Drosophila melanogaster: one gene and its partner. Changing the gene in region 1 together with any one later gene gives a genetic interaction. Each region holds a gene or a part of one and is shown on either strand. Other genes may lie near its edges. The genes, in order: Cerk and bwa.

Evidence for each region.
Region 2: of Cerk (region 1) and bwa, changing one suppresses a phenotype caused by changing the other (phenotypic suppression), as found in Drosophila melanogaster (one study listed by BioGRID).

Annotation. Positions count from the first base shown.
Region 1 is NT_033777.3:5,354,991-5,370,200, reverse strand, and holds Cerk (ceramide kinase), read left to right. Parts: upstream 1-1,894; 5' UTR 1,895-2,280; intron 2,281-8,134; exon of another isoform or gene 8,135-8,169; intron 8,170-8,440; 5' UTR 8,441-8,491; coding exon 8,492-10,222; intron 10,223-10,650; coding exon 10,651-10,853; intron 10,854-10,913; coding exon 10,914-11,043; 3' UTR 11,044-11,328; downstream 11,329-15,210. Other genes in the region: CG31542 (uncharacterized protein), read right to left, coding at 1-546, 606-609; Prosbeta7 (proteasome beta7 subunit), read left to right, coding at 12,126-12,277, 12,345-12,846, 12,918-13,070; CG1161 (uncharacterized protein), read right to left, coding at 13,621-13,776, 14,073-14,198, 14,259-14,367, 14,651-14,874, 14,948-15,016.
Region 2 is NT_033779.5:20,064,557-20,082,706, reverse strand, and holds bwa (brain washing), read right to left. Parts: upstream 16,317-18,150; 5' UTR 15,947-16,316; coding exon 15,809-15,946; intron 13,915-15,808; exon of another isoform or gene 13,660-13,914; coding exon 13,403-13,659; exon of another isoform or gene 13,389-13,402; intron 13,331-13,388; coding exon 13,193-13,330; intron 12,627-13,192; exon of another isoform or gene 12,569-12,626; coding exon of another isoform or gene 10,999-12,568; intron 10,884-10,998; coding exon of another isoform or gene 10,519-10,883; exon of another isoform or gene 10,512-10,518; intron 10,354-10,511; coding exon 10,061-10,353; coding exon of another isoform or gene 10,035-10,060; exon of another isoform or gene 9,330-10,034; coding exon 9,253-9,329; 3' UTR 8,988-9,252; downstream 1-8,987. Other genes in the region: neb (nebbish), read right to left, coding at 5,411-6,850; pr (purple), read left to right, coding at 7,682-7,749, 7,857-7,936, 8,371-8,516, 8,579-8,791; CG10730 (uncharacterized protein), read left to right, coding at 10,519-10,883, 10,999-12,568; vls (valois), read left to right, coding at 17,109-17,648, 17,706-18,082, 18,135-18,150. UniProt on the Drosophila melanogaster protein: Hydrolyzes the sphingolipid ceramide into sphingosine and free fatty acid.

The DNA of each region.
Region 1 (15,210 bases):
AGGAGTTCGGGTTCTGACTCTGGTTGCCGTGGTGCGGGCGATAGGGTTGCGGTCCTCTGGGCACGTTCTGGCCACAGGTCACGTTGGCGTAGGTGGGCTGGGCCATCGCCTGCTGCTGCTGTTGGTTGGGAGGCGGGGCCACCGGCGGGGCGCAGTGGCACTCCGTCTTGGCGGGCTTCTCGCGACAGGTGCAGCGGGTCTCCAGGGCAGGCGGCTGCTCCCGCGGACCCCGGCTGCACGTGATGTGGTCCGCCTGAACGGATGGCGGAGGTGGCCGGCTACGGTTCTGAGTGCACGTGCACTCCACGGTGGGGGCTCCCCGGCTCTGGTAGAGGCTGCATGCGGCGGGATCGCCCGGCGGCTGCGTCGAGTTGACCTGGCACCCGCCTGCTCCCTGGCCCCGCGGACCCGGATAGGGACAGCTGTCCGGCTGCTGCTGCGGCTGGTGGGCGTACGAGGGGGGTGGCCTGTGGGGCGGCTGCTGGGGGGGTGGGGCTCCGCCGCTGGTGCCGCAGGGACAGTTGTTGCACTTGCCACACGGAGACGCTGCTGGCGGAAGGATTAGCGCGCTGCGGGTGGCGGTCTACAGTCCATTTGATACTCACACATTTTCCGAAAGTTAGGGCTTAGGTGTAATTAATTGTCCCTACAGGCTGTCCTACAAGCTGGTAAATCAAAACTGACAATTCCGGATCGAGATCTCTAATCGGGTTTTGTATACCCTGCGTTCTTTGCATTCATTTACGCTTTAAAAAGTTTGTATGACCAAATATATCTATAAATTAACAGTTTGAAAATAATTATCAATAGCACTCCATTAGATTACTTATAAACTTATGGACTCCACTGGTTTAGTTAAGCCCAATTAATGTTTAAATTTCTGCAGTTTTATTTGGAATTAACAAAAAAAAAAAAAAAAAAAAGTATAGTCGTATGTCCTATTACCAAATAATAAAAAGAGAAAGCTGAAATCATGAGAACGCTTTGGTCGAATGCCCGAACTATTGCTTATCCTAAGTTTTGCCTACTTTTCTTATAATTCAATTTACCTTACACTCTTCGAGTAACGAAAATAACAAAAGCGAACACGAAATTAGGATGACCAGGCTATCAGATACCTAGTATCAGATGTCTCTTAAAACTATTTTAAAATTAAATGTACGAAAGTAATATTCTACTAAAGTGCAACCTATTGAAATAGATTCCAGCGGAAATCCCGAGGAATTTCGAAATTAAATGCAGGAGAATTCCTTGATAATTTATGTATAATGTATGTACGCGTAACAATCACTTCGCCAATCGGATTTAAACAAAAGTGAAAAAAATTGATTATAAAATAATTCTTAACATTTTAAATTTATTTTTTCCTTTTTTGGTTCCTGGATGAATATCTTATCCGTGAGTCTAGGAGTATGACCTTGAGCAGTTGTTGTGTCTTCTGCAAATTGACAAAATGGCTATATTGGCCACCAACCAATTTTGAACCCGACTGAACTCATAGCTGAACTACTTTACCTGGAAGAAGTCCGGAGTCCCCACATCGACACAAGGACCAACCGTAACCCGCTGGAGACTCCCGCCCAACACGGTGTCATTGGTGACCGTTGAGCAATTGCTGCAAGCTGCGCAGCTAATGTTGTTGGTTATCTGGCGGCTGCAGTAGAGTTTTGGGATGATGTGGATGCTGGGATGAGTGATTTGATCCTGGGGAGTAGTGTATTAGTAGTGTAGTATTTAATGGTGAGAAAACTTAAAAAAAAATATCGGGCACAGTTATTTTTGGGTGAAGATGCCGTTAATTTTAAGGTAGCCCTAGTTCTCGCCAGACTTGAGAATACCCCAGACCAAACTATGTGGTATTTCAATCAAGTCAGGTGGTCTGCCTCGTATTTTCCACAGTTATATGTACGGTCACACTGGCGAGCGGACGTACACTTCGCTTCGATTTGTCCGCCTGTGTTTTTTGTAACGGCCACGGAAGTGCATTTCTGGTGTTCTCGTAAATTCTTTGTGCTCCAGCGAGTAGGGGGTGGAAAGTGTGGCTAAAACGGGAAACCGGGAGATGCCGAAACGCCATTAGCACCAATTGCACGTCGGCTATTTTCCAATTGTGTGTGTGCATTTGTTTGTGTGCAAGCGAAAAAGTGCAAGTGTGCGAAACTGCAATGCACATCCGTATCGAGTTTTCTTGATTTCCCCATAAACAGACGGAAAAACAGCGCAACGACTTCGAAAGTGCAGCCGTGTTTGTATGGATAAACGTTCCTACCTGGCCACCAGGTGAGTTCCCCAACCAGTTCACACTGGCACTCCAATTGGAAGAACGGACTAGGATCGAGAATAAGTAGGTACACGAGCACCCAAGTTGGAATTAAACGCAGAGAACTCAAGCCAGACGCACATACCCCCACACGCACGCACACACCCTTACGCCTGTATACACACATGTTCTTGTCAACAGCTGAGTTGTTGGTGCTACACAGCTGTATTGCGTTGCGATAACGGCACCCGGAGTATGGAAATGACAGCTGTCCCTGTCTGCACCACCCCACCCCCCCCCCCCTCCCAGGGTGCTATACCCTTCTGACGCACTGCGGCTAGAGCAAGCGAACCGGGACCCTTCGGTGTATATGTGCACTGTTATTGTTTTGGTGGTGCAAAGTATCGATGTCGATGCTGCGATACTTATTCCTTGGGAAAGAAATGTCTACTTCTATGGGTTAAATTGGATTTCAGGGACCTTAATTAATAATAATTTAATGACCTGCCAAGCATAGATTGCAAGTAAATAGCAACTAAAAAATAAGTATCTACTTTGTTTTCATTTTTACTCATATACTAATAGTTTATTTTAACATAACAATGTATTCTGGGAATTGGCAGAAAACCTATTCGTGTACCTATTTCCTTTGATCTTAGCAGACCATCTGCGCTATAGCACTGAATAATGACCCCTCACGTGTCAAAGGGAACTTGCCCCAAGTTATTTATAATATTTTGTAGCTTTGCTTTTGCTATTTTGGCTGTGAGGTGCGTGCACCGTCGAAAAGGTCAGACATGGGCTGATGTCTGGCAGCTATAAAGCGGGTCAAGATTGAATAACGCTCAAAAGGGTGAAACGAGATAAATGGTGGAGGGGTTGACGATTCTAATAATGTCAGTAGTTCTGGAGTTTAAGATTGACGTATTTGTTTGTATTTCGTACATATCTACAGCTGTGTTCAGAAAATAGCAGTGCGAAGGAAACTAAGTAATACAAAGGTATTTTTCCATGTCCTTTTTCGGAATCGACTTTTTATTCCACTTATTTTTGTTAAATTGAATGTGTAGATAGGAAAAAAAAAGAAAAGCCGGTTAGTTTTTCTTGTTATCCTTTTTTTATTTACATTCTTGAGCAAAATCGCAATTTTTAGGCTGTTCATAAGAATAGCAGTGCCTGGTTTTGACCAACGTAAAGTTCCGAAATGATCATTATTTTCTAAAAAGTGAGTTTGGTTAAGTTAATTCGTATATTTAAAAGGGCAAAAAATTAAAAAAAAAATTTTAAATTATATTTTAGTGGGTGGAGGACAGCACTGCTCCCAGGAGAAAAGAATGTTAATTCTTAAGCTTAGAAAGGAAGGAAAAGCATTAAGGACATTCAAAAAACTCTTGAATGTGCTGCCAAAATGGTATCCAATACCATTAAATATGAATGGAAGCCCGAAAACCGTGGTACCAAACGTAAAACCACAGAGATAGAGGATCGACGCACAGTTCGTTAGAGCAAAGCCTATCCTTTTGCATCCTCTAGGGACATAAAGTCTGAGCTGAACTTGGGAATCAGTGACGTTAAAATTTCAGTGCGAGGAGTCCACGAAAGGTTCCCCCACTTAGCCCAAGGCTTATTCAGGCAAGGTTTACCTTCGCTAAAACCTACCGAAACTGGCCAGTCTGCAAATGGCGTAATATCCTTTAGACTGATCGGTCAAAAATAGTGCTATTTGGTGGAAGTGGTTCACTACAGTATATCTAACGACCTCCAAACACGGAGTACCACCCAAAACACCCACTGAAGACTTTCAATCACGGTGGACCTAAAATCCTGGTATGGGCTTGTTTTTTTACAATGGTTATGAGTCCATAACATATGATTTATGGTATTATAGACCAAAACGCATATGTAAATATACTTAGTGATGTCTTATTGTCATATTCTGAATATAATATGCCCTTAAAATGGACATTCCAACAGGATAATGATCCGAAACGCAGATGCAAATCGGCTAAGAATAGGTTCACCCAAAATGGAATAGATGCAATGCCGTGGTAAGCACCATCTTCCGATTTAAGCCCGATTGAAAACCTGTAGGGGGACATTAAACAATATGTGTGGAAGAAGTCCCCGACGTCTAAGGCTCAGATTTGGCAAGTTGTGCAGGATGCATGGGCAAAAATTCCTCCCAAACGTTGCCAGGACCTGGTGGACTCCATGCCGCGTGGGTGTAAGGCTGTGCTGGCTAACAAAGGCTATCCAGCCAAGTATTAGGCCCGAATTAACATATTAAAAAGAAAGACTAAGTTCGTTCTAAGTCAAGTTGAATTTTGTTACTATTTTTTCATAGCACTGCTATTTCATTGAAAACCAGAATTTCTGCCTATTATGTTGTTTTAATCTATATTTTCGAAACTATTAAAGAAATAAAAGCGAAACATTTGTTAAATTGTTTGAAATTAAATACCTAATGATATTATAAAAAAAAATTTCCCATTAAAACTGTAAATCATAAGAATTTTTTATCTTAAACACTCAAGTCCAAAGCACTGCTATTTTTCTTAACACAGCTGTACATATATCTAGAGCATTTCCCCTCCATGTCATTCGAACTTTTTGTGTGGTTATCAATTTACCCGCTAGTTTACATTTCCGCAATGTGTCTGTCTTTTCCTTCTTCACATCGACCTACATGTACTAGACTTTTTCGCTTTGTTAAATAATTACTGCTGTCATGTGCTTCTTAGATGTTGGCGTGAGTCAACGAGCTCAAAGTTAAAAGAAATCGGACACAGTTCTATTAGTTCTGTTTATGGTACAGGCATTTAAATTATAAACAACTCGGTCTATAGATAAACGAAAGTATTGATTAGGCCTTCAGAGCTCTGATATACATATGTACGTAAAATCCGGCCCACTAACTCCCACGTTGCAAGTTAACCGAGACTTGATGTCATCAATCTTATCGAACCTTGTATAGCACATAGCATGTATATTGTATAGCATATACTAAAAAAACGTTTGTACCTGTAGTGCTGTCCAGTTTTGCACAACGTGTCATGAGGCGGGTAGAAATTGGCGAGATATAGCCCTATTCTATACATTCACAATGGGTACGAAAGCACTCGATTGTTATTGTTTGAGTTGCCGATAAGCCAGTACAGATTAGAGGGCGAAAAACGAGGGGTTTTCACGAAATAAGTACAAAATACAAATCGTTGACCACTTAGCACTCATTTAGGATGACACTTTGTTCCAACAGATCGCTTTCGTGCTTGCAGCAATTAGCAGCATGCAATTAGTTGACGCTAATCATAATGAATCAGCAACACAAAAAGGCCTGCTTTTATTAAGAAACATTTCTTATTCTATTATAGCCCAGGAGAAATTGTTTCGATTCCCCGGGTTCCGCTTCTTTATGGCATTCAAATTTGTACCGACCTCAATTGGGTACTATCATATGTAAATATTTTATTAAATGTATAAATCAACGCATTGCTCGAGGTGCCCTATGTTTTTTGTTTGCTTCTCTGTTCTCGGTTTAGTGGCATTTGAGTTCATCACATTTGTTTTTTGAATGATTTGCTCTCAGAAGTGGGAGATGAGTATTTGTTTACTTCAAATTCATATGAGGGTATTTTGTTGTTGATTTGTTTCTAAATTATAAAGAACATGCTCTGGTTATTCCATCGAAAGTGTAGAATTAAAAGTTTATTAAATTCTGGCATTCAAAAGAGAAAAGTATGCCAATAACCAAGTTCTATGAATAGTGTGAGGGCTGAACGTAAGCCAAATTCATGAGGTATATTTATGATCTAGATATATAAATAAAATTTGATACTATACAAATCAAACTTGGAAAGGTCCACAGATAATGCCACAAACAAATTAATTCTCAAGCAAAGCCAGCTAATTAGCCAGAAAGAAACAAATAAAAACGAATAAAACTATTATTACCATTATGGCTAATTGCAGTTTTATTCAATGCCAAGGCTAATATACTACTAAAGCCTAGTTTTCTGTTTTTGCAAGCAATATATCTTAAGTAGCTGCCCAAAATTAATTAAACAAACAATATGGCTAGCCATATTAGCAGAGCTAACTCAAAAGCGGTTCTCCTCCGTCAATGTCAAGATACAAAGCTAGGAAATGCGACTTTGGCCAGCCTGCAGCTCGGGTGCAAATGTGGGCAAGGGGCGAGGTGGTTTGTTTTAATGCCAGATTATGGTCAACAGCCGGTTATTGCAGTCTGGCCAAGATCTCTCGAGCGATTCAAGGCGAAGGTCGCCAGCTGCACGCAACTCGACCGGGCAGAACCCGTTTTCCAAGTGCCACAGCTACAGCTTCCCGGTCCGCTTTTTTTTTGTTTGAATCCGATTCTGAAAGCGATTTTGCGTGCTCTGGGTGCCGTCTGTGATCGTCGTTGACCTTGGGGCGATTCGTTGCTCATACGCCGCGTGAGACGGGCTTTGTTGGCTTGTTGGTGCGAGTTCTGGTTTCGGGCACTGAAATGCGTGCGACTCTCTAATAAGCAACAATACAGTCTGCCTCGCTAGTCAGCTAACTAAAGAGTAATTTGCATACGTTTGTCATTTTTGAAGGTGTTTTTGGCACTGTTCTCCGCTTTTGTGAAATATAGAGATTCATTTGTTCAAGAACTTTACTCGGAGATGTCTTTCCCATTGTTTTGAGATGATTGGAGCTTGCTGGCTTTCTTTCGCTTTGGCCAAGTTCAAAGCAATTGTACATTGTTAGTAAATGAGGTGCCGTAAAGTTTACGATCGGAACGTGAATTGAGTTCAGAACCAGTTTGGTTCTGGCTAAGTGCGCTATGATACACACTGCAGTTGTTGAGTACTTTAAGAAGTATTTTATAACTTTTGCTTCTGCCACGTTCATCTCGATCTTTGTTTATTTATAACTGGCGAACGCTTTTCTCTGCCCAAAACTGCAATCAAGAGTTCATTCAACTCATTGCTATGAACTGCTATCTACTGCATTGTACTTTTTGTTTTCCACTCCCATTGGGTGGCATACAAATTAAACCAGTTTCTAACACTTGCGCATTTTCCTGGTTGCTCAGTTCAGCGAGCTATGAACACGAATCGCGCAATGTACATACGTATAAAATGTATAGCAATAATTTCTGAACATGTCCAATTATCTGCCATTGAAAACCCATCAACAAAGGCAAATAGAACCCATTGAGAAGTATTTCAAAACCTATTTTGCAAAGGGAATTGGACGCGATTTAATTGAGGTTCATAAACGATTTATTTTTGTAGAAGCCAATCCTTAAAATGTTTTTCGTTATATTAATTTATGATTGCAACGCTTGTTCATTGGAGTCTTATCGGGATTTCTGGCATTTTAATTACCAGCGATTATTTTTTATCGGTTTATGAGTCATAAGCGAACTTACCATTTAAATACTTTAAGCTCAGGCTAAAAAAATATGTGTGCAGTGAGTTTGTTGCGATATTTTTCCAGCTGGTTGTTTATGATACAGTTGCACAATTGGCTTTGCTATTAAACTTTTACCAATGGCCAAATCAATTATTCATCATTATTCTAAAAATGAGTCGTTATCTCGTAGTTACAGTGCTGTTTCATCGCCTTTTGATAACTTTATGGTCATTGAACCATAAACTCATCGAATGAACATTTTATTTTTTCGACTTTCCGTGTTTTCGTTCAAAAATATTCACAAGTCTATGCTAATGACAAAAACCATCAGATGCGGAGGACCGAGGCAGAGGTTTGAAAATGACTCCATGCAGTTGATTCAGTCTGTCACAGTCCCCTCTGCGTTTTCCGTTTAATTTTCATCATCGACACCTCTCAGTAAGTAATTAAGAGTTGAAAGGCCCACCTCTACGTGAACTGCTAAAGTCACAAAGGCCGAACATCAAAGGGTAAGAGAATGGAGCGTCGTAAGTACGACGCTGCCTCCTCCACTCTTTCATTTGTTACTGCTATTTTAAGTACAGTCAGGCTTGATTAAACCATAACTTGAACTTAATAAACACAAAGAAGTAAAGAAATCATATTTGGTCATGTGCGCCAAAATATGAAAGGTTTGAACCCCTTTTCTAACGGGTCCAAACTAAGGATATGGTTGCTTTTTGAGTTTGTGCTGATGATGTTTCACTGTATATCTAACTGAAACCTGTTTTCTTCTCTTAGTACCGACAAAGCGGACGCCATAGCGGGAGACGGAGACGTGGGCCAGTCAAGATGACGCAGACCAAGCAGCCAGCAGGGCGGTCGTCCACCTCGGCCGGGGATTTTGTAGCCCCCATTAGCTCTACGAGTGCCTCCAAGTTCACGCCCTGCTCCGCCTCCGACCACAATGTCCTGCTGAACAACTTCCAGCTTAAGAAGAAGAGCTACAGGGTCCTGCTTCACGGACAGCAGTTGGTTTGGGAGCGTCTGCAGAAGATCAAGCAATCGCCCCAAGGAAACGAGGCCAAGGCACCGTTGCCGCCGGACTCGCCAGCTCAACCAGGCGGAATCTGCTCTTATGGACCACAAAGCCACGTGCTCCACCTGGACGATGTGGTTAGCATAAGGAGCGGGGACACCAAGGCGAGCTCCCTCAAACCGCCTTCGCCGCCAGGCTCGGAACGCAGTTCCGGATGCAGTGGCGATGTTGCTCAAGGGAAGCCTACCAGTCAATACCTGACCATCAACTATGCCATGAGGCTGAGCAAGTCCCAAACGGATTGCAATCGGTGGGAGCTAAGGAGACTCACCTTCTTCAACTCGGATCCCTACATAGTGAGGCAGTGGGACCAGGAGCTGCAAATCCGTCTGCATAGCTCCTCCCCCACCCGGATGCGAGTGCGCCGCCTTTTGGTCTTTATAAACCCCTATGGAGGTCGCAAGGCGGGAGCTCAGACCTATGAGCGCCATGTGAGACCTATTTTCCAGCTTGCCGGCGTAGACGCCACGTGTATCACCACTCAGAGGGCAAACCAAGTGAAGGACATACTTCTGAGCCATGATCTGGGAGTATACGATGCGGTTTGCTGTGTCGGAGGCGATGGCACCGTAGCAGAGGTCATCAACGGACTGATATTCCGTCAAATGCGAGAGTTGGGACTGGACGAACAGCGGCCACCATACATTCCAAGACCGGCTCTGCCAGTGGGTGTGATTCCCGCTGGCAGCACCGACACCATTGCGTATAGTATGCACGGCACGGCGGATGTGAGGACAGCGGCTATCCATGTGATTCTGGGCCAGCATCGGGGATTGGATGTGTGCAGTGTGAGCAATGGGCAGTCCCTGCTCAGATTCTGTGCCAGTGTCCTGAGCTACGGGTACCTGGGCGATGTGGCAGCCCAGAGCGAGAACTACCGCTGGATGGGACCGCGCCGGTACGAGTACAGTGGCGTCAAGGCCTTCCTGAATAATCGCGGCTATGACGCCGAACTGAGAATGTTAGAAGAGCCCGATCTTCTACTGACCACGCCGCTGGAGGACATTCCGCAGAGTCCGGATAGTGTGTGCTCGCTGGGAGAGTCAGTGCCATCCGTCTGCTATGCCAATTGCCAGCGCTGCAGCTTCGCCAGCAGCATACAGGAACAGCGATCCTCATTGTTCATCCAAGAGGAATCTAAAGAGGCAGAGCGCAATCAGCAGGTAGAAACAGAGGACTCTCATCTAGCCGCCAGTGAAGCAGCACTCCTGAGGCCTCGTCCGCGTCCAGGCAATCTTCGATTGCCCACTGGCTCCATTTCATCAATGAGGAACCTCGGCAACGATCAGTGGAAGGTTGTGCGGGGCAATTTCTTTATGATCTGCGGCGCGAACATAACCTGCGCCTGCGCCAGGAGTCCCAATGGCATCTCCCGTTACAGTCATCTGGGTGATGGTTGCCTGGACCTGATTCTCGTGAAAAAGACCTCACTGCTCAACAACGTGCGTTTTCTGCTCAACACGGCGGGCAGAAGTGGTGATATTGTGAGTACTAACTATTACAACTATTCAACTTTCACATCCAAAAGAACACCTTTCCTATAAGAGGCGTCCATTTCCTTTGAAATAACATTTCCATAACATTTTAACTGCATCTTTAATTGCCAAATCCCCTAAGCCTACAAGCTGAGCTTAGTGCTTTCTATCCTAAAAGCCAAAAACCCAAAACCGAACCCCATCTAGCTCGGATTGAAGCGAGGGAAATCTGTGACAGAAAGGTTATTTTACGAAGATCTACTAGCCGCTCTGGTGGCATCCATATAAAGTATATACTTGACCAGTTTCAACAATATAATGTTTTATCTAGTGAATGCGATGGTATCTTTTACTGTAAAAATATAAATGAAAAATAAAAGGATACAATTAAATTTTGTAGAAAACAATAAATATTTAAAAACATTTTCCCATTGCAGCGCAATTTGCCTTTTGTAGAGGTATATCGCACAAGGGAATTCCGGTTCAGAACTTTTTCTGCCAGCGAGGAGGACTACAGCTTGGCAGGGTCTTGTCAGCCGATTACACCGCCTGAAGAAATGACCGCCCACTCCTCCTCGACGGAGTTTTCCAGCTGGAACTGTGATGGAGAGGTGGTGACCGACCTGGACATAACCATGCGGTGAGTTGGTTGTACCTTTAACTTCAATAAATCGCTTATTAACCGTTCCGTATCTGGCAGATCGCATTGTCAGCTCATCGAGGTCTTCATGCGGGGTCCCCATTCCTACAGCAAGCCCCTCAAGGGCGGCACCACGCCCACAACCCCAGCTAGCTCTAGCGACAATGTTTACTGCTGCTGCAAGGACTAGAAGCTTTAACCCCATAGAATTAGCATCAATCGTTGGCCGTGACATGTAGCTCTTAGTTTTGCGTAGGGTATCCTTATTCGTATATGTATCGTGTTAAAGAGCGGGTCTCCCCGTCATTGTTTTTAGCATAGCTCAATAAAGCAACTGATATTATCGACTGTATTATGGCATCTGAAAGATGCGGCAGCAACCTAAACATTCCCCTCGGAAGCATTATGCACATACCTATATATTTACAAATTGTGTACTGGTATACTGGCAATAAAAATGTATTTATATGTCTTCAAATTTATAATTCTTTATTATTAATTTATATGATCAAATGTTATGATAAAAAACTTCGTTGGGTTCCCAAAAACAACAATCCGGAACATGTGCGTTTTTCCCACCAATATGAATAAAAGCAGAAGTTTTAGCAAAAGAACCTTATTCCGCTTAAAAAGCTATGGAGAATCGTGTTCGAAGGGAGAGAAGGGAGATATTGGATTTGTAGATTGACCAGGATAATTTCCAAACGTCATTTACATTTATTGCTCTCGATTCTTATACTTTAATGACCATTGAACGGCTTAAAATGAAGTAAAGCAAATGGTCATTATATATTAACTAAACATATATTTAGTTTCAAGGAGTAGTAAATACCGTAGAAGCAACGGGTATACATGAGTCTTAATCCTAATTGAGTGAAAAGTTCTTTAATTTCTTATCTTTCTTCTCCTTGATTTGTATTATCAACGAGGATTATAAAGACAAAAGTAAAAAAACAAATTCAGTATAGGCAGCGTGGTGTTAACTGTTTTACATTACTTTTAACATCAACATCTAATAAAATGTTAAAAAGTTCACAATTAAACTTCAAATTAATTTAATTTAACACATGTAAAACGGTGTGACCAAGCTAATAGTGGATTCATCTTTGGTATGTCTGGTATTTTTAGCTACCGGTTGCCGATACTGGTATTGCCGCCCGCCTAAAGTCTGTTCACACTGCGCTGACTCTTGATTTTATTTGTGCCCGTCATTCTCCGGCAGCGACAAACATTTCAAAGTCTCGCGTTATTCCAGTCTCCGAATAAATTAGCATGTTGAACAACTACAACAGCCTAGCGCAGCCCATGTGGCAGAACGGACCCGCTCCCGGCGAGTTCTACAACTTCACGGGCGGACAGACGCCGGTCCAGCAGCTACCGCGGGAGCTGACCACAATGGGACCCTATGGAACCAAGCACAGCACGTAGGAACTGCGGATATGTTTATATGCAGATGTACCACTTGTTTACACTCCTTTTACTATTCCGCAGTGCTTCCAGCACCACGGGCACTTCCGTGCTTGGCATTCGCTATGATTCAGGAGTGATGCTGGCCGCCGACACCCTGGTGTCTTACGGATCCATGGCCCGCTACCAAAACATTGAGCGCGTCTTTAAGGTCAACAAGAACATCCTGCTCGGCGGGAGCGGCGACTTCGCTGACATCCAGTCCATCAAGCGCAACATCGACCAGAAGATGATCGAGGACCAGTGCTGCGACGACAACATCGAGATGAAGCCCAAGTCCTTGGCCAGTTGGATGACCCGTGTGCTCTACAACCGTCGTTCGCGGATGAACCCCCTCTACATTGACGTGGTTGTCGGCGGCGTGGACAACGAGGGGACTCCGTACCTGGCCAACGTGGATCTCCGTGGACGATCCTACGAGGACTACGTGGTGGCCACTGGTTTTGCCCGCCATTTGGCCGTTCCGCTGGTCCGTGAGAAGAAGCCCAAGGACAGGGACTTTACCGCCGTAGAAGCTTCCGAACTGGTAAGGAATTTCGAACTCTGATGGGGGGACTCTTCATTATTTAACTACCCTACCATTTTCTTATATTCTAGATCCGCACATGCATGGAGGTGCTTTACTACCGCGATACTCGTAATATTTCCCAATACACTGTGGGCGTGTGCAGCGTCAACGGATGCGGCGTGGAGGGGCCCTTCCAAGTTAACGAAAACTGGACATTCGCCGAAACCATAAAGGGATACTAGAGCCTCCGATTCTGAATGAACTTAGTTTAGGTCTAGCTCGGCGGTTTTGCATTAAAAAAAAACACTTGTCTAAGGATATGTGGTTACATGATTTATTAAAAATAAATGTGGCTGAAAATAATACGTTTAAAGTTATGGTTATTGTGTGATAGAAACTATCTTCGAGTTATTCTTTCGTTAATCTCTACTGATGGAATCAAAAAGTAGGCGTCAAACTAAGAAGCCCAAGGGAGTTTCCAAATCTAACTTGGACTCACCATTACGGTCTTACGTTCCTTATTTTCCCAAATTATAACCATCAATTATCATTAAAAGTTTTATTTTAGTGGATTTGTTGGTTATTCCTCCCGGCATTCAACTTATTAATTAATATGCAAACACTCCTGACAAACATATTTTGGTTTATTTTAATTAACATAAAATCTGGCTAAATATACAGATAATCAATTTGATCCAAAGGGGAATTTCGCAAAGGATAACTGCTTGGAATACGTGTCTTAAGTCGCCCATGCGCCTCCTAATCTCCGCCAGCTGCAAACCGAACCCCTTGTTAGTTTAGCATGGTATGCCTGTCGTAGATGTGGCGTCTCTGCTCGCGCACCTGCCGCTTCCACTTGTCCTGCTGGTGGCCCACACGATTGAGGACATTGGCTCTGGCACTGAGCTCCTGGTTGTTGACGGCTGGCAGGGGCGGCGTTGGTTCATCCTGGTTAGAAAAGGGTGGAAAAATGTGGAATTAGTCGAGGTGATCCAAGATCTGGCCGTGTTAGTTACTGTCTTAATGAAGTGACGGTGTGGGTTAGAAAGTCAACAAAATCTATAACGCAAAATGAAACAAAGGTGGTTGTGGAAATTAAAATCTATTCAAAAGAGTGGTGCTTCTTTATTGCCAACTAGTTGAGCCGCTTCGGCATCAACATCGTCATCTTCATCATCTTCGCCTTGGGCTGTAACTAGGAGGCTATACTGAATGCCCTTGTATCTAGAAAGCTTGTTATGTACATCTTCGTTGGTGTGCTCCTGGTAGTTCGCCTTCACTCGCTTGTTCAGCAACGGGTCCAGGCACATCAGGAAGAGCATGTATATTACTAAAATGGAGATGATCCAAATCACAATAATGACCACGACCTGGATGGGGGAGAGAGCTGGTTAAGTACGGACGGCTTTTGAGCACTCGAATTGACTCACCTTTATCAGCGTCGTATTTCTCGCCACATGGGAGCACTTGCACTCGGCGCATATGGGCAGCTCCTTGCCATTGGCATCCAAACGGGGCAGCAGGGCACCGGCACAGACGCTGAAATGGTAACGTGTAGCAGGTTGTTAAGAACTCCAACCTAACAGAATCACAAATTAAGCTCATTGATACCAAGATGCCTTATACATTTAGTAGCTGAAAAGTGAATACATTTGTGCAATACATGAACTATGATTCTTTGAAGCCTACGCAAACAACGTAAATTGAATTTAAAGTAGTAGAATCCAGTGGGACGAAAGGGATTGCAGCTTTAAAACTGCTCAAATGGACTAGACTTTAAGTTTCCAGATGCGGCAATTTCTGCCAGTGCAGTGCCACTTACCACTCAGTTGTGCTGCTGGAATTGGAAGAATTTTTGCCTGGAGCAGCGAGCACAGGCTGGCCGATGACCTTGGCCGGAGGGGCGGCAGTGGGAGCTGAAACTTGCTTGGCTAGTGGAGCTGCAGCCGCTGGAGCTGCAGGTGCAGGCACAGGAGCAGGTTGAGCATTGCTGTTGTTGTTGCTGTTGGTGCCGATCGCTGGGAATGTCTGCGCCGCAGTCTCAGCCTTTGTTGATTGTTTGAGGGGGAAATGAAAGCGGATTAGTGGGGCAGTCACGGGATGTGGCCAGTCATCATACCCATGTCACGCCAACCAAATAACATATCACCAGTAGCACCGCGTAGACGAACAGGCGCTTGTGTGCCATTAATTTTTCTTTAATTTCAATTTTCCTCAGTTTTCTTGCCTTTTATTGGAGAAAATTCCCTTGCAATTTCGCAGAGTGACCGTACTTGTCTGGTGCACAGAAAATACCAACAAATTGTCGCTCATCGAACTAGTTCCTTTTGGTGCAATTAGTTTTTAGGCTAATTATTAATAACTAATTATTTCCTTCACGAT
Region 2 (18,150 bases), on another chromosome or scaffold:
CCTAACCCAGAAGAAAGGAAACCTGAAAGAGTAAGAACAAAAACAAAAACAAAGAAAACCCGAGGAGAAAAGAGAAAAAGCTGTCGAAGACGAAGATTGCGCGAGAGAGCGAGACAGCAGCCTGCAGCTACAATAATCTAAGGCAACTGTACCCCTATTTTTTTTAAAATGGTTGCCCAGCATTTCCGCGTTGCGAATACACTACCATTTACAAAAGCCAGAACCACTTGATACCAATTTACAACTACCTTTTTCATTATCTAGCCCTTCGTTTTTACACCAACTTCGCAGTTATGTACAACTACAAACGGCACTTTGTTTACCGACAAACAATAGCGCACGACGAAAAAATCAAGTAACGAAAACCTGCCCCGCTTGACCAACGCATTTTTTGACCTTAGGCAAAAAAAAAAAAAAAAAATTATATATGTAACACAAGGGAAGCAAAAACTGAATTTTCTATTTTGCATACGAGACTGAGTAAATTGCAGTAGAAAATTTTTAAGCGAAATTTTTGTTATTTTCGTTGCTTTAGTTTGGACCCAATTGGATCAGTTACAGGTATTACCATATAAGAAAGAAATAATGAAAACTATAACGATCAATCAAGGTTTTGCAACTGTTATTTTCTCGATATATGCGTAGTACATACTTTGGACCCCGATTTTTATTGTATCCTTGTCTATATTAGACATTCCCCTATATTTATTGTAATACCAACTGAGCGTTGCACAGTCCGAGCAAGTGTCAAAATGAAATCAAATCGAAATATGTATGTAAAAGTTGAAATTGTTCAAAAGTTTATGCCTGGTTACATTTTGTTAACTCAACTTGTCGTTACAGAACAGAAATTGTTATTAATTTTTGGTGTTCAGACTCAGCTGTGCAAAAAGACGGACGGAAATATTATAAAAACGATTTAACAATTGCATTAGTCATTTAAGTAATTGATCAAAATGTAATGATTTGTGTAAAATTTGCTTGCAGGTTCCAAGAAAATTTTCAATTTATACAATGTTATATATCATATATATTATATATTAATGGTTAGTTTAAATTATATGTAAACCGAATAAAACGACAAATGATTGAAAAATTTAAGTTAAAATGCGTACTTGTATCTTGAGGGTTACTTGAGGAAATTACGATTAAAAGAAAGGAGATATCATTCATAGTTGCTACGATTTCTAAAAGTTAGACACCTGTTCCAATTACATACGTTGAGGTGGGTCAGTTTGGACTTAAATTTTCCAAATAAAAGTCTTAATTTCTTATGCAAATCTTTACGGAAATCTTTCCGTCTCGCACCAGTTTACTAATTGAAGTTAATCTGTCTTTTGTCTGTCTGAACTCAAAATGTTCCGCCGCTTGAAAACGTTAAATATGATAAGTAAGTACTTGATGGCTAAGGTCAGGTTTTAGGCACTAAACTGGGAACTAAGCGAAAGCACCTCGAGCCCCAATAAACCGACCTGGAACTTGACCATGCACTATCCCACCTTGCAAGCGAATGTCCAGGGATGCCAGCTCCCAAGTGATCCAAATGAAACCCCAGTCAACTAAGCCGAATTGAATTAGAGCAACGAACGTTTGGCACGGGTAGATGAGATCATCCGTGCCTTAATCATGAAAGGCGAATCAAAAAAATTCAACTGATCAAACTGAGAACTGAGCGCATCCCCCCACACGAAAACCATTCATTCCATTTGCATATTTTTTCATGAGTGTGCAAAAGGGTATATGTGCAATGGGGCGACGGGGAAAGCGATGTTCGAGAGAAACAACTCGCGGGGAGGAAGCCATATACATATTCAGTTGTTTGTGCATCGAATTCGACTCATTTTATATTCCAATGCTAACCACTTGGTTGGGGCTAAATATATTATTAAACAGTGTGGCTTAAATTACAATTGTTGTTATGCGGGAAACTGGAACGGAGAGCACACGTTCGAAGCATTTTGTTATGCCAACGTGGGTCAGAGATACAAACTTTTGAATTTATAACTACTATACTATACTATACTATTTATAACTACTACTATTTACATTATTGAATGGCTCAGTTAGTCGAAATCTTGTGAATAATTAATCTGGTTACTACTCGTATGTCAAATTTTTTCAGTTCACATAATTAGCATTCATTTGTGAACTGAAAACGTGGCTTATTTGAAAATTCATAACGGCGACAGACAACTCGCCTGTTGCTAATTACGAAAATAATTAACTGACGTATCCTCAGTGGCACGCTTTTCGTATTAGACACGTATTAGAAACAGCAGATCAATCGAATTTGAAATCGTGTGAACCTACGTCATTTGCATTCAATTCGATGTTTCTGGATTTCATTCAAAATCCCACATTCCCTGGCTATCTAAACGGTGTTTGTGGCTTTCCAAATCCAACTCGGAAAATGCTGATTGTGAACTCAGTGCGGTTTCTAGGGCTTTGCACACGAGCAAGTTAATTTGGAATTTATTTAGAAAGCTGGCTTGGGACTCCGCATTTCCAGTTCCAAAGTTCCCCCAGTCATGTGAAGGTCGCAACGAGTTCTCAAAACTAATAAAAATTGAGAAAAAACTATAGTTTAATGAATAAAAAAGGACTTATTTCTTGGAGAACAGAATATATCCCTTTGCATTTCAAAAAATGCTGAACCGCTTGTTACAAAAACTGAAAAGTTCCAGAGGAGTCAAGTCGCAAGGTGAACTTAATAGCTAGGCCATGGTATTTAAAGTGAAATACTTACATCAAAATATGTCAACTATTCTAATTACCTATCAAAAATTGAATTATTCTTTTACAAAACCTAGCCGTAGTGCAAAACCATTTTCATATAAGTGGACTGTTATTAAGCCAGTTAAATAACAGTATTAACAGTATTCTTTTTTTGTTTCGAATAATGAGCTTTTTGGATAATGAACTTAAATATGACTTTAAATTGACGAGTCTGTGCTAATAAACAAAACGGACTGCAAATGTCAAATCACAACTAATGTTAAAAATTAAAGTTATAAAACACCAACCAATTTTGATTATAAAGCATCTCCCATTACTTACATTGTACCCAAATCCTGGTTAACTTTAGATTTTACTTGGCCTAAACATATTTGCTAATTGTAACATACTCTGCCATCAATTACCTTTATTGGCTTGTATACACTTCGTAAACGTTTAGTTACCATCCTAACTATCTGTATATAAATTATTCATTTTGTGTACAAATTGTTATTGCAGCTCTTAAGGATGGAAAAAAGCTGAGCAAGGGCAATTGCAAATGCGAGCCTTCAGCGTGTAAATGTGGAAAACGTCAACAACGACAGCAACAATTGAAATTGTTGGTGTCGCAACTTAGGAGACGCGATAACGTATCAAGTGTTATAATGTTTTAGTGCCGAAGTACCGCACAAAAATACCAAATAAAGCATTATCTGCAAAGTATTTTTAAATCTATGGGGTGGCAAGTGAAGATGTAGATGGAACTTTTGTGTCGTATGCAAAGATAGGAAAAGTACTTCACGGATAGATAGGAACCATGGAAGCCCAAAAATATCAGAGGCAAAAAACAAGGTCGGCTGATATATAAAAAAAAAACACAACAAAACCCCCCTCCTTTTAAAGGGGTGAAAACAACTAGTAACAATCAACATACAAACCCTAAATCTAAACCATCTAAATCTTTCAATGATTTTAAAGATGGATTGGGCAACCACAATCTGGTGCGTTTCGTCACTACGCTGGCTGCGAGAGTCCCCTACGGACCTACGACGCCATTCCAAGAAATATTTGTCTTCACCTTTTATGGCAAAGGCCGCGTACGGAAATAAATCATGTGAGCCATTTTATGGGCCGTACTACCGTAACGAAAAGCAAAGTGGACACTGGACACTAAATAACACTCAGTGGAACGGGTTTCGGGAAAAAAGACAAGTGTTTGGACTTTCGATCAAGAGCCTCTCACTTGTGGGCGCCATGTAATTACTCATTGAATGCAGTCGAATGATTATAAATTACGTCGCAAATGTCGAGTGCGCCTTTTTTTAGAAGCCAGATACTTGTATTATATAAAACCCTCACTTTCGGATTAACTAGCCTGGTAATATTCCAACAATCAAGTTATTACGAACGTGTGGCGTTCGCTTAAGAGCAGTTGTTAACTTAAAATGCACACATAAGTATGTTACATTGATTGCTAAAGAAAACGCAGTCGTTACTCAATTCAAACAATCGTGAAACAAGTAGCTAATATGTTAACTAATGCACAACATTCAAGTCTCATGACAAGTTTATAACAATTTTCCTGCTAATGCTATGTAAGCATTTGCTGAGGTTTTATAACAAAATAATTATATTACCCGGGTGAAGACACTGCTATCTTTTTATTCGCGTTCTTAAAATAAATTTCTAGAAAGTTTACACGTGCGCCTTTGTATCAGGTCATAAATTTTATGGTCACATAGGAAAAGCAACAACAATAGATTAAATAGATATGATAAGAGGCCAAAATTTTAATCACTCAATTGATTGAGGTGCGGGAGGTCTTTGATTTGGTAGACCTTAATAAAAGGCTTTCCTATCGAAAATGATAAGGAAATAATAATAATAAAAAATACACTAAGTCTGCTGGCAATCTTAGCAAACAAAATAAACAAACGAATGATAACAAGGTTCGAGTTTAGAACTCGAGATCTCTCATATTTAGTCCTATAAAGCGCAGATAAACTCAATCTAATCTCTGGCTGATGTTGTCGTCTTCTTTTCCTTGTTTTTTTCGGACAATTTGACGCTTTATTTTAATTAAAGTAATTAGCACCCCAGTTAATTGATAGAGCCAACATAAATCTGTCTAGCAGCTGCTCCTCGCAGTGCAGACATCATTAAAACAGAATTCGCGTGTCGCGCGAGTCGAGATGATATCTCTGTAGACAGTGGGCTTCATAGCTCATCACGAGATCTGTTGAAAAGACGAATATCTGCCAGCCAGTTAAGTAAACATTTGACCGTACGAACATTTTGTGGGTACTTTCCGCAGGGGTCAACGTGTCATTTGCATGTTGCAGTGCAGTTCTACGTACTGATTGCTTTCCGGGTAATTACTGATTGCAAGGGGACCCCATTCCGTGGGCCACTGCCTAATCGAAGCGAAAGTGTTGATAAGCAATCCTATCGGTGGTGGCAAAAGTGCGGAAAGCATTGCGAATATACATATGCATTTATATTGAAGACATGAGGTTATAAGGTTTTACTGAGCTGAACTTATTCGAAACACATACTTAGCAATCACTTCTGGGTACAATTATTGATTTCAAAAACCAAGGGGATAAGAAAGAGTTATCATTAGCCGAAAGTAGACCAACCTACTGACCCGGTTGATAAGTACAAACGCAGCTAAGAACTATTTCGTAACACTTACCCGCAACAGCCAGGTGAGCACGCTCTCGCGATAGGGAACGAAGGTGCTGGGCGTCCCAGAGCCCAGGGGTCCATTGGCGATCGCCTTGCGGGAATCGGCGAGAGCAGCAATTACTTTCCCCAGCGTCAGCAGGCTCTTGTTGATGCTGACGCCCTCGCGGATCCGCTCGCCGTTCGATCCGGAGACGCTAATGCGTTCGCTGCCCGCCAGGTCCACCAGGCTAATCTTGCTGCGCCGCGTCTGCCGCAGGGAGGAGGCCGTGCTCGAGTCCGTATCCGAGGACAGGCCATCGTCACTGCTCAGATCGGTGAGGTTTAGGACAATGTTGAAGATGGAGTGTGAGCGCGAGCTCTTGTCGTTCATGGCCGTGGAGGCAGTGGCCCGCTGGGAGTTGCCCACGGCAAGCCAGTTGCGGAGTGCCGAGTACGAGTCCACCGAGTGGGCACTCAAGTCCACTACGTAGGGCCCGAAGATGGGATGCTCCCTGACCTTTAGAGCCGGACGCTGCTGCTGTTGTTGCTGCTGGATGGGCGTGGATTCCCCGGTGGCAGCTGCCGCATGCTGGACACTCAGCAGATCGTGTATCTTCTCGTTGTAGATCTCAAAGTAGCTGACCTCCACCTCCACCTGCAGCTGCTGCTGACTTTTCACAGCCTCTATGCGGCGGAATAGCTCGTGGCAGAAGCGTGGAATGATGCCCGCCTCATCGTGCGGCGGTCCGCCATCCAGAGCGGCGTCATCCAATGCTTCAATGCCCATCATGCTGTACGATTTGCCCGAGCCCGTCTGGCCGTAGGCAAACAAGCAGGCATTGTAGCCCTCGAAGGCAGTGTCGATCAAGGGACGCGCTGTGCCCTCAAAGACTTTGGCCTGGCAGGCGAAGTTCTTTCGTTCGGGATCGCACGAGTAGTAGACCTGGTCGTAGCTGAAGAAGTGCGTCACGCCGGCGGAGGCATCAGCACTGCTGCCCGCTTGGACAGTCAGCTCGTTGCTGTTTCCGTGCACCTGGACCACATTGGTGACCTGACCACGTGTGCATTCCAGGGCATTCAGTGGCCGCACTCGCACCGCCACAATCATGTTGCTCTCCTCGGACACGCTGAGGCAGGACTCCATCAGAGAGTCCCGCTCCTTTGTCCTGCTGCAGCTGGATTTCCCGGTGCCGGGCGTCTTTGCTCTTCCAGGAGTAGAGTTCGCATTCCTGTACAGCGACGAGGGTGTGTAGCAGGCATTCAGGGCCGTGGGCTTGGGCTTCGGCTGTGGCGTGCTCCCGCTGAATGCAGTGTTCAGCAGCTGTTCGGGACGATCCCGGTGCTCCCGATCCTCCGCCCGCGTCATCAGCACCTTCTTGCGCATCTCGGATGCCGGCGTGGATTTGTGGACTCCTCGCGTCTGGAACTGCTGGATGCGCTGCCGCACCGGAGTGCTCTTGTTGCTCATGTCTAGATTATTATTTAGGTATCTCTGCTCGTTTTTTAAATAACGCCGAAGAGTTTCGAATTATTGCGCGGCGTCGTTTGTTATTTTTTTTCTAGTGAAGGGCGGCGATCGATAGCAAAGCAGGGTTGATTACAGTGAGCGGCGTGAGGTCCGGCAACGCCACCACGAGCCAGGGATGAACAGCACTTACATACTCTGTTAGCTAACTCTGTTAATCAGCTCATTTAAATTATGAGATAATTGACAAAGAACTAACATGAAATAAATAAATATATAGCGAAATTGTAATAGTGTAAGGATTTCTACCCATACAATAGTCTATTTGTGCAGTTGTAAATCACTGAGAACAGTTGTGGCGGCAAACTGCTCAGCTCTGGCCGATAACCGATACGCGCTGCCTTGTTATCGGGAGCAGCTGTTGACGAGCAACGTAGACAAAAGTAAATATTATTGAAAATCCATAGCAATTAAAGGTGAGTTCCTTGCTGAATTGAGTTTGTTACCATGGCTATAGCATACCACACCCTGTCTTTGCAGCACGCATAGGCACTTGCAACAGAAAACGAGGGAACATCAATCGCTAATCAGCTGCAATTAGCCGCACTCGAAAAGTTCAGAGAAACTAGTTCCGAGCGTGTTGATATCGCAGTCGCCGCATTTGTGGCTTATATTTCCTTGTTCCCTCGATCCAAGTACCATATAAATAAGCGCGGCTCAAAAGCAGGTTTTGCATTCATTGTAAAACATTGCCAAAGCGCGCAGCTGATCAGCCGCATATATAAATCCACATCCAGATACAGATCCAGATATATAGTATAAATCGGACTTGAAATGTCGCAGCAACCTGTTGCCTTTTTAACCCGTCGCGAAACTTTCAGCGCCTGCCATCGTCTCCATAGGTAATTAGATTGAATCAAATTGAATCATTCAATTGCCTGATTCAATCACGGCTGGCAAACCAATTCAGTTCGATTTAAATTGATTGCTGCATCTATTTTCTCTTCAGTCCCCAATTGAGCGACGCCGAGAATCTGGAAGTCTTCGGCAAGTGCAACAATTTCCACGGCCACGGACACAACTATACAGGTAAAAAAAAAAATACCCCTTAAATACACTTAGTCGCATGATTACCTGCAAAGTGCCACACTTATTATCACATAACCCCGGCTCAATCAGGCTTAACCCCCTACTAAACTGGTAATTTGAGCCCAAAGTGGTGCCTAACCATAGCAAAACCTTGGCCGACAAGCTCGCTTATCAAAACCATATTCAAGTTCAACGCTCAAAGGCAATCAATATGTTGACTGGCGACCGAGAATTGATAATGAATAATGGTTCTGAACGAGCATAAAGTGTCGCAAGTGCTCAACTGATTAGAAATTTGGATTATATTTAGATTGTCAATAGCTAAACCTTAAGAACTCAAGCTTGACTCGATGCCGATTATACCAAATTATACCAAAAAATGTGTGAATAGACTACGAAAGATGTTCTTTTATAATCCTTTGTGATCTTTTCAGTTGAGATAACCGTCCGTGGTCCCATCGATCGGCGAACCGGAATGGTGCTAAACATCACCGAGCTGAAAGAGGCTATAGAAACTGTGATTATGAAGCGCCTGGACCACAAGAATCTCGATAAGGATGTCGAATACTTTGCCAATACAGTAAATAACCAGCAAGCACAACACAACTTACCGTACTTATCCTTTATATCTATCCCCCCCAGCCAAGCACCACAGAAAACTTGGCCGTTTACATCTGGGACAACATCCGTCTGCAGCTGAAGAAGCCGGAGCTGCTGTACGAGGTGAAGATCCATGAGACCCCAAAGAACATTATCAGCTACCGCGGCCCGTATCCGCTCAATGGCATCTACAACCCCATCAACAAACGCATCGCTCACGATTCGTGCACCAACATCTCGTCGGATTCGGATTGAACATTCGAAGATTGTGACATCGCCTAACGAATTTTTTGATTGGACCAATGATCAGCGAAGACTCAGCCAACCTCTTAAGCACGCGCGTAGAAAAGGACACTTACCATGTAAGGGAATGAAAAGTTATACGAATTACACAGTATGTAGGAGTAAAATATGTTAATGCAACATAATATTGAATAAAACAAAGGCAACTGAAATACTATTCTTTATTGCGATTAAACAAGAGAGCTTGCATTCCTAACACAGTATATTTGTCGACATTCGTTTAGCCTAAGTAAATCATACATACTTCCTAAACTATCGCTCCATATGGCATCTATACATAATTTGGTTTCCGCGATGAGCAGGCGAGCTTTGTAGTTAATAAATAATTTAGTTGTTCCACCTTCTGCAACTCTAACTTATATCACGCTGTGTATGTCTCTGTTTGGAGAAGGCTCTCCACCCGATTTCTTGCCTTAGTTCTTTCGGTGCTTGTAGTCATAGTCATAGTCCTGCATGTACAGACTGCAGTAGACGAGCCAATCTTTCGAATCTGTGGAATCAGCAAGGTAGCGGGTTGAATGATTTGGATTGCATAATACTTTGAGCAACGATCTCTACTTTGTTTAGTGTTTTAGTTGTGGTTACTGCTACATGCTAGTAGATTTCCAATCCAGAATAAGTGTAGGTGTTAGTTGGTTAGTTTGCGTAAATTAGACAATTAACAAATTCAGGTACTGACAACCTAATACGATTTTTTGTCTCTTTGGGAAAGCGTAGGAACCATTTGTTCTGGAAGTCATGGGATGAATTAGTTCATAACATATCACAGTCTGATGGTAACTCATACTCATAGAACGGGTTAGAAGACTTTGATTAAACTCATTTTAGGGGATAGACGGAACAATAAACATCATTTAGATATGTCTTTCTACAATAGTTCCACGGAGCAATCGCCCATTCATTTATGGACTAAGCAGGGCGCTACTATTATTGTTTTAGGCCCAAGTGTTCAGGTGCACCGAATCTTAAGGCGTTAACAGACTTATCTCTTTTGGGTACAACCGCGAATCCGATTCGTTTGCTTAATATAAATACATCTATGGCTAATAAACTGTTTCAACTATATAAAAAGTGTGCGCTACAATTACGTTGCCGCAATTTTACAATAATTGTGTATGGTTTTAAAGCATGTACGATATTATCGCTTGGTCTTTGGTCACTTCTCTGCCAGCTCTCCATTCCGGCGCAATCGTCCTTAGATGGTGTTGCGCAGAGCCTTACCTGGATTCCGGATCGAAATGAAGGGTATCCCGAACTCGAACTCGTTCTTTGGCCAGTACTTCAGCAGCGGCTGTCGCTGGGGCAGCTCCGATTCCACGTAGAAGTAGGCGAAAAGCACCAGCACCGTGTAGGCGGCTATAAAAATGAATATGTGCCAGAAGCCGTGCAGGTATGGAAAATTGATCGAGGACCAGGCCTCGCAGAAGATCCGGTCATTGATCCAGCAGAACACCGCAACAGCCCAGACGGTCGTCGATCGGATGCCCAGGCGGTAGACCCTCTGGTCACTAACTCTGTATGAACAAAGATATATATGGGTATTAATAAGTTGTTATATTTCGAAATAATTCGAAAAGAAACGCTCATGCTTTTCGTGTTAAATTAGCCAAGCGTTGTGAATGCAATTATTAAACGAGACTTTCGGTCCGCCAATGAAAATGCTGCAGTCAAAGGTGATCATGACGCTGTCGCGTAAGGACTTTCAAGCCCTTTTAATCGTAATATGCTTTGGTTTTTGGATCGAGAACCTTGTTCAGGGCGCAGATGATTACTATGTATATAGTCCGGTGTGCCAGATGCCCGCCGTGAATCCCTTCACGTGGGACACAATGAGTAATTTCCACAGAAAGACGCTAAGGCATTGCCACAACGACAGCGACATGGTAACGAGTGAATTCGACTTCGAGACACATCAGTACCGACTGCATGTGCACGAGCACCTGGCCAAGCCCATTATGAACAGGAAGGGCAATGCCACCCTGGAGTGCGAGTACCAGGAGATTTCACGGGATAACTCCGACCAGAAGCCCGACAATGCCTATAAGTAAGTATGAGCATACCATGCAGATATGAATGTATAAATATTATTCCGATAATGGTTGAAGGAGATTAGAGAAGCTTTCTGACTTTGTTAATAAGCCCAATTGGATTTCTTTCAGTCAGCTAAGAAGGCGGCCCATAGAGCAGCACCAGTTCGTTCCGAACAACACCGACTACATGATCACCAGTTGCTACGTGAGGGATGTGACCAAGCACCGGGAGCTGCTGCAACAGGATGCCATTTCCTTCATCGAGGACCGCCTCCCAAAGGAGAAGGTCAAGGATTTCGTGAAGGACGAAAGTGAGGTGCACAAGCCGAGCGTTCTGATCATGGGACTGGACTCCACATCGCGCATAAATCTTCGACGAGCCATGCCATCGGTTTACAAATTCGTTAGACAACCCGGCTGGTTCGAAATGCAGGGCTACAATAAGGTGGGCGACAATACCTTTCCCAATCTTCTGGCCGCGCTGACAGGGGATTCCGAAAAGGGAGTAGGGGATTATTGTGATGTCACAAAGCCGGGCTGCTTGGACTCCCTGAACTTCATTTGGAAGCGTTTCAAGAAAGCCAACTACACAACAGCCTTCGCCGAAGATTGTTCATCTATTAGTACCTTCAATTACCTGAAACCGGGATTTGTGAAGCAGCCAACGGATTACTACCTTCGCCCACTACTTTTCGCCATCGAAAAACAATTTAAAGTGACCAATGACTTCGGATTTGCCTACTGCGTGGGTCGCCACCTCAGCTTCAGCTACGTCTGGGACTTTGGCCAGCAGTTCATCGATCGCTTCCTCGGCAGATCCCCAATGTTCGGCTTTCTATGGAGCAATAGCTTCACCCACGATTACTACGAGGGAGCCACTGCACTGGACAACCTGCTCTGGAAGTATCTAAAGTCCTTCGAGGAGTCCAATCTCTTTCAGAAGTCCATTGTGATTCTGATGAGTGATCATGGCCACCGGTATAACACTTTGAGGCGGGCTTCCACTGGGTATTTCGAGGAGCGCATGCCGATGATGTTCATCTACTTGCCACCCTGGTTCCGGCGCAAGTATCCCCATTTGGCGAGTAATCTCGGCAAGAACCAGAATCGACTCTCGTCCAACTACGATGTGTACATGACGCTCCAGCACTTGCTCCAGTTGGATAGCAAGTCCGTGGATGAGTTCCCGGATAATCTAAGGGCAAGGCAGTGTAAGAGCTGTCAGTCGCTTTTCTTCGAGCTGCCCTTCAATCGCACTTGCCAAATGGCCGGAATCGAGGAGAAATGGTGCTGTTGCCAGCCCACGGAAACCATTACGAATTCCCCGCATGTGAGCACAATTGCCGAGGCTATTGTCCAGCGAATGAACGAACACTTAATTAGCCATAATCTCAGCGATCTTTGCCACAATTTCACATTGGATTATGTGGAGAAAGCAGATCGCAAAACCATCCTGTCCAACGGACTTCGGCCGGCTGATAAAAACGAGCAAGTTTACATCATTGTTTTCGAAACTGTCCCGAAAAACCCAATTTTTGAGGCCACTGTGCGCTGGAATAGTCGAACCCAAAGGCTTCTTCACTTCGATGTCGAGGAGCTAAGTCGATTGACCTCCTACAAGAATGATGCCAACTGTATAAATCGCAAGAATGCCAAGAAGTATTGCATTTGCAAGGACAGCTTAAGTAGGCCTAGTTAGCACTGGTTAAATTGTATAATTCATAATAAGGAAAGAAAGATACCATTGTGTACCCACTATATCTATCGTTACTTTTTCTATAGTTTCCTACATTCAATTTAAGGGTATAAATCCATTACTCAGTTGCAACCCAGATACGTCATACATTACGAAACTTTGTGACAACTGTAAGTCCCAAAGGAAATAATCAGTGGCCAGTTGACTACCTAAGCCAATATAAACAATAAGCCCTCGAGCAGAGTACTCTACTCCAGGTTTATCTTAATTACACACTGAAATCGATTGACATGATTGATTGATGCACCGACGCCTGGTCCCAAACATTCAATGCCAGTGCAGGGAAACACCCCTTCGTTTTGATTTTTGACCTACTCGAACCATAACATATCATCGATGACAAAGAAAATAAAGCTGATTAAATAGGTGCTGATAAGGTTGAAATAGTTTTGGCTCCCAAAGATAAAACAAAAAAGCATACGTGATAGCAGGGATGAGTGATGTTAGGATACATGATTTATGGGCCTTTCGGTTAATTTCGGGTCACCAGGCGGGAAATCAGAGCCGCCTGCTTATCGGTAAGACCCTCAGATTTACGAGTTGTGTATATCGTCTAGGTGAACTTACCTCTGCAGCTCTGTGTAGAGCATTACCATGGTCGGCACACTCATGAACATGAGAACAAAGGCGTTAACAATGGGCTTCCACCACGACAAGCCCGTCGCAGCAATCGCCGACAAGAGCATGAGCCAACTGAAGGTTTTGCTGGGGGAACAAAGGAAACCGAAAGTCGGGGGATTTAGATAGTGCCAGCCGTCAGGGGATCACAGTGCTTACCGATCGTTTTTCACGAACTTGGGATAGTATCGCTTCGGATAGAAGAGCGAAAAGGCCGCCATGAAGACCCAGAGTATGGCCAGTTCGTCCAGCAGCTGGCCAATCAGACTCAAAGTGGCATGGAAGTACATCGAACTCAGGCCAACCACGATGAGCAGCACCCAGATGACGTGGATTCCGGGCGTCACAAAGCGTCCGTACTCCTTGAAGAGCATTATAAGGACGGGCGGCAGTAGGATGAACAGGAAGTTGCTAAACTGTTGAGGCAAAAAGAAGTAGAACGACTTTTTAATATTTATCATTCCTTCAATGTAAATGGGTTGATTATATATCAATAAAAATTAAAAAGGGGGGAACGCCATGATCAAGTATCGCGACTATTACATACCCTCTACTTTGCTCTTGTAGCAAGCAGATAATATACATTAAACTATAAGATAACTTTAAAGAGGCTTAAAATATAAAACCAATCTTGGCACGTAGATTTGTATTGATTAGCTAAAGTATCATTCAAAATATCACGGAACGGAATCTGCATCCGAAAGAAGAATCAGAATCTCTTTTCTATCTATCTTCTATTTTACGAGATCTTGAAGTTCATACGTACGCTAGTAATCCTGATCAAGAATATATATCTTTTCTAAGGTCGGAAATGCTTTACTCTACCTGTTATATACTTTTCAGCTAATCTTCTATGCACTTTAATCTCCTAGTAATCGGAGTATGAAATAAATGGAAATTATTATCTTTTTTCTTAAAAAGTTTTATGACAATGTTTCCTATTTGCTATAGCTCCCTGTGGGCTGTCTAAATAATTAACATTTACGTGTCACTTGGGCAATTTGCACTGTGTCACGTAAATGTGTGAACAAATTGAATGAACAGAAATCATTTTGAGTGGGCAATTGGACGAGAAGTGGAGCAATTATCACATCTAAAGGGTGCATGGATCAGCATTAACATATGCGTATACTATTAAAACCAGTGAGTGATAAGAAACTGGGATATGCCGCAATTATTCACACTTCCCACTATAGAGATATTAACGATTTCATCAACACAAGTGCCGCTGGTTATTGTGCAGCAGAGTGTCAAGAACGGGGTTATTCACTCCGTTTGCTGGGCGAACAACTCAGTTGAAACAAAGCCGAAATGCGTTGTGCACTTCAATGGGCCACGGCGAACGATTACTCATGTCGACCAAATCAATTAAAAGCCATTCCCATTATCGTTAGCCAGCGGAAGTGTATCTGCACCATATGAAAGGCCGTTCTACAAAGTAACTTAAGGCTCCCCAGTTTACATTGACCGAACTGATGATACTGCGTTCTATTTGAAACGCAAGATTGTAAATTACGACATACTATTGTCATCGTGTTGGGGAAATATGGGGAAATACGATAACCTTTTGGACTTGAGTTCACTTTGAGAACGTTCTATTTCTTGCTGGGAATTCAAAAAACTATTAGGCTGGAAAATTATTTACATTTCGAACATCTTATAGAAACTAATTGAGATTAGATACGACAATAAAGAAATTTCCCTTAATCTTAGTTACGAATTTAGAGTTTGCACTTACTTATATTGTTAATTAGAATATCAGAAAAAATGTTGTTTTGATCCACTTTTAGTGCGTTGTTTTCGTAAACAGCGTTTCTATCAATGGTTAGCTTCAGACGATTAACCTTGATAAGGCCTAATGAAAGTGAGCCCGTCACATATTGAGTTACGAGTTACGATTGTAAGAACGTTTATATTAATGCGGATGCCATTCATTACCACCAGCACAGCTATTTGTTTAGGCTGTTTTACTATAATGACAAATGCAAACGGCTGACTAACTAAATGAAATCGCGAGCGTATAATCTACATATTTCAAATCTAATAACATCGGACAGCCGGGTTCAAAGTAGTTATATAAATCATATTATATATGAAAGAGATGATAACAACCAAATGAGAGAAGCTAGCCCTTGCAGGACTTAGTTTGAAGTCCGTGTAGCGGCCAAGTCTGAAGAGACACAAGTTTCCAGTCCGAGGACAAAGTGTTCATTATGCTTTGCCCTGTCCGCAATACCAAGTTTTATATCGATCGGACAGGTGTGAAGCTCAGGGCGATAAGAAAACTGAATTTTCCGGGTGTCGCATTTTCCGGGTGCGAAAATGACCCCCACCCCCAGCCCATCGTCACACCAACGCAAACAAAGCGTGGCAAACAGCATCTTTTGTTTACGTTGCCAGTCGGTCTCGCTCTAAAAAGGTCAAGGCCTATTCAAAGGGAAAACTAGCAGCTGTCTGCGAAGGGGTGAGAAGAGCAACTACGACCACTGCGGGGACAACTAAGTGGGGCAGCGAAAGCAGAGCGCACAAATTACATACAACGTTAAATAAATCGCACATACGCACCGTGTTCACGAACTCGGCGATGTTGGACGAAATCAAGTAGTTGCCTTCGCACCAGTCGACGGGCGAGCTTCCGGGTCTTAGGTGCTCCCAGGCCATGGCGTAGATGTCCAGCAGCCCGCCGCCCCCCATCCCGCCCATTCTCCGCCCACTCGATGGAGGCCCGACCGCAGAGATCACAGCTGATTGGGGAGGCGGTTCCGCTCGTTCTGCCCAGGCACTTTGTGTGTGTGTGTGTTGCTCTGTCGCCCTTCCTTGCAATCTTAGACCAGCTGCAGTGGCGCAATTTGCATAATAGCCCAGTGTGCAAGCACTTGCGTGTCTTTGTTGATTGCCTTCCGTCGCGTGGCTTACTGCAGAGTCGAAGTATTCCGCAGTTATGTAAGGAAATATTTAGTTCTTGATGGCTCAGGCGATGGAATCTACGACGTTTGGGACGCTGACCACTCGCGCTAGGAACGCACTTTTCAAAAAATAAACCAGCGCGCAACGAGCGACGCGATAATAATAAACAAAAATAACAACTGTGTGACCGCTTGCAAGCGAACGGTAAATGTCCATAGTGGCGGGAAATCCCCTAAAAAATACCGTTGCTCACAACTATACCGTTAAGCAATGTGAAATGTAAACGTAATGTAGAAACTTTGCAGTTGTAAAGTGCGCCATTCTCTTTTTTTAATTACCGCCTGGCGATTTCGGAACTCCTGTATCGGAAGTCTTATTGTTATATAAATAAATATATTCTTTATGGCATTTTAAAGTGTTGTTCTTGAAAATTATCCTTCACAATTTTATCAAAAATGAGTAAGGAATTCTGAACGTGTTCTGAACCTTTAACCAATCCTTTGACCAATCTATAAATGACTAACTATCATAATTTTGGATGTCCTCCTAGTGATGATGCGCACCAAGATTGCTCAATTTGAAAATGAAAGCTGTAAATAGAAATGCTAAAAAAAACTTGCAAAACGTATTTTCAAAGTCTTTCTATTAATCGACACTTTCATCTCAACTCGTGAAGAAGTGCAATTAAAAATTATTAAAATAGGTCAGTATACATTTTTCCGAGTTCATAATACTGATATTAATCGGAATAAACGAACTCATTTTGAATAAACCAATCAAAAAAAAAAAAAAAAAAAACTCCAGAGTATCCAGCTCGCGCGATTATCTCTAATATTAATGTCTAATAATATCGATATTTCGATTGGTACACAAATCGATGTATTTGGTCTTGCCGGGCTCGTTGCTCTTCCTTGCTGGCCGATTCTCTGTTGTTTTACGGAATCTTGAGTGAGAGACGATGTTCCCGCAACGCAGCTCGGAGCTGTACCGCACTCCGGTGACCCACCAGCCTCCGCCGGCACTGGAGCTGGCCGGGAATCTGGAGTACCCGAACCTCAACATTGCGGACCTAAACGCGCGATTGGAAAACCTTTCGCCGCGACTGCACGACTGCTGGGACAGCATCGCTATCAATGATCACAACCACCTGGCCCTGGCCACAAACCGACGCGAAGGACGCCAATGGTGGGGCATGTTGTTCGGCTACGGACGCGACCAGATGCACCATATGAGCGTGGACTCGGCGAACTTCAAGCTGCAGGCGGAGCACACGGTGAACATTGTGCGCTACGCTGAGGATGATTTCCTACTGGTGGCCCTTGGGGATACCCGACTCCAGGCCTGGTCCACATACTCCAAGGTGCGAGATTCTCAGTCGCCATACTGCCTCTTCCTCGTGGGCGAGTCCAGTGCGCATCCCACACCCATCAGCCAACTGAGCGTCTTCAAGGCGGATCCCCGCACTGCCGTTTCGGGCTCAGCGGACAGTACCCTCAATGTATGTATAAAGGTGATGTGGATGTATGGAAAATATACAAATGTTACCCTTTTGCAGGTCTGGGATCTCTCGGGCGCCGATATGGTGAGCACCTACAGATCGCGCTCCTCGCATACCGACAAGTTGACTGGCCTGGCCACACCCGCAGCTTCAGTCGATAAATTTGTGACCTGTGATCGTGGCGGCTGTGCCCGCCTTTGGGATGTCCGGGCAGCGGCTCCATCTTCCACGTGCCTCTATGCGGATGCCAGCCACGTGCTGAGCTTCACCAGTGCCGCCTGGGCAGCTGCCTCGGAGCTGCAGGGTGACAATCACATCTATCTCGGGGACTATGACGGCAAAGTTCATACTCTGGACATTCGAGTGCCACGAAAACTGGCGGAAACCAGGGAATACTTCGACAAGGGCCATGTCGCCCAGTTATTAATCAATGGGTACAAGTTTAAGCGAAACAATGACGATTTGCATTAACGCACATATTTTCAGGCCCCATCTGGCTGCG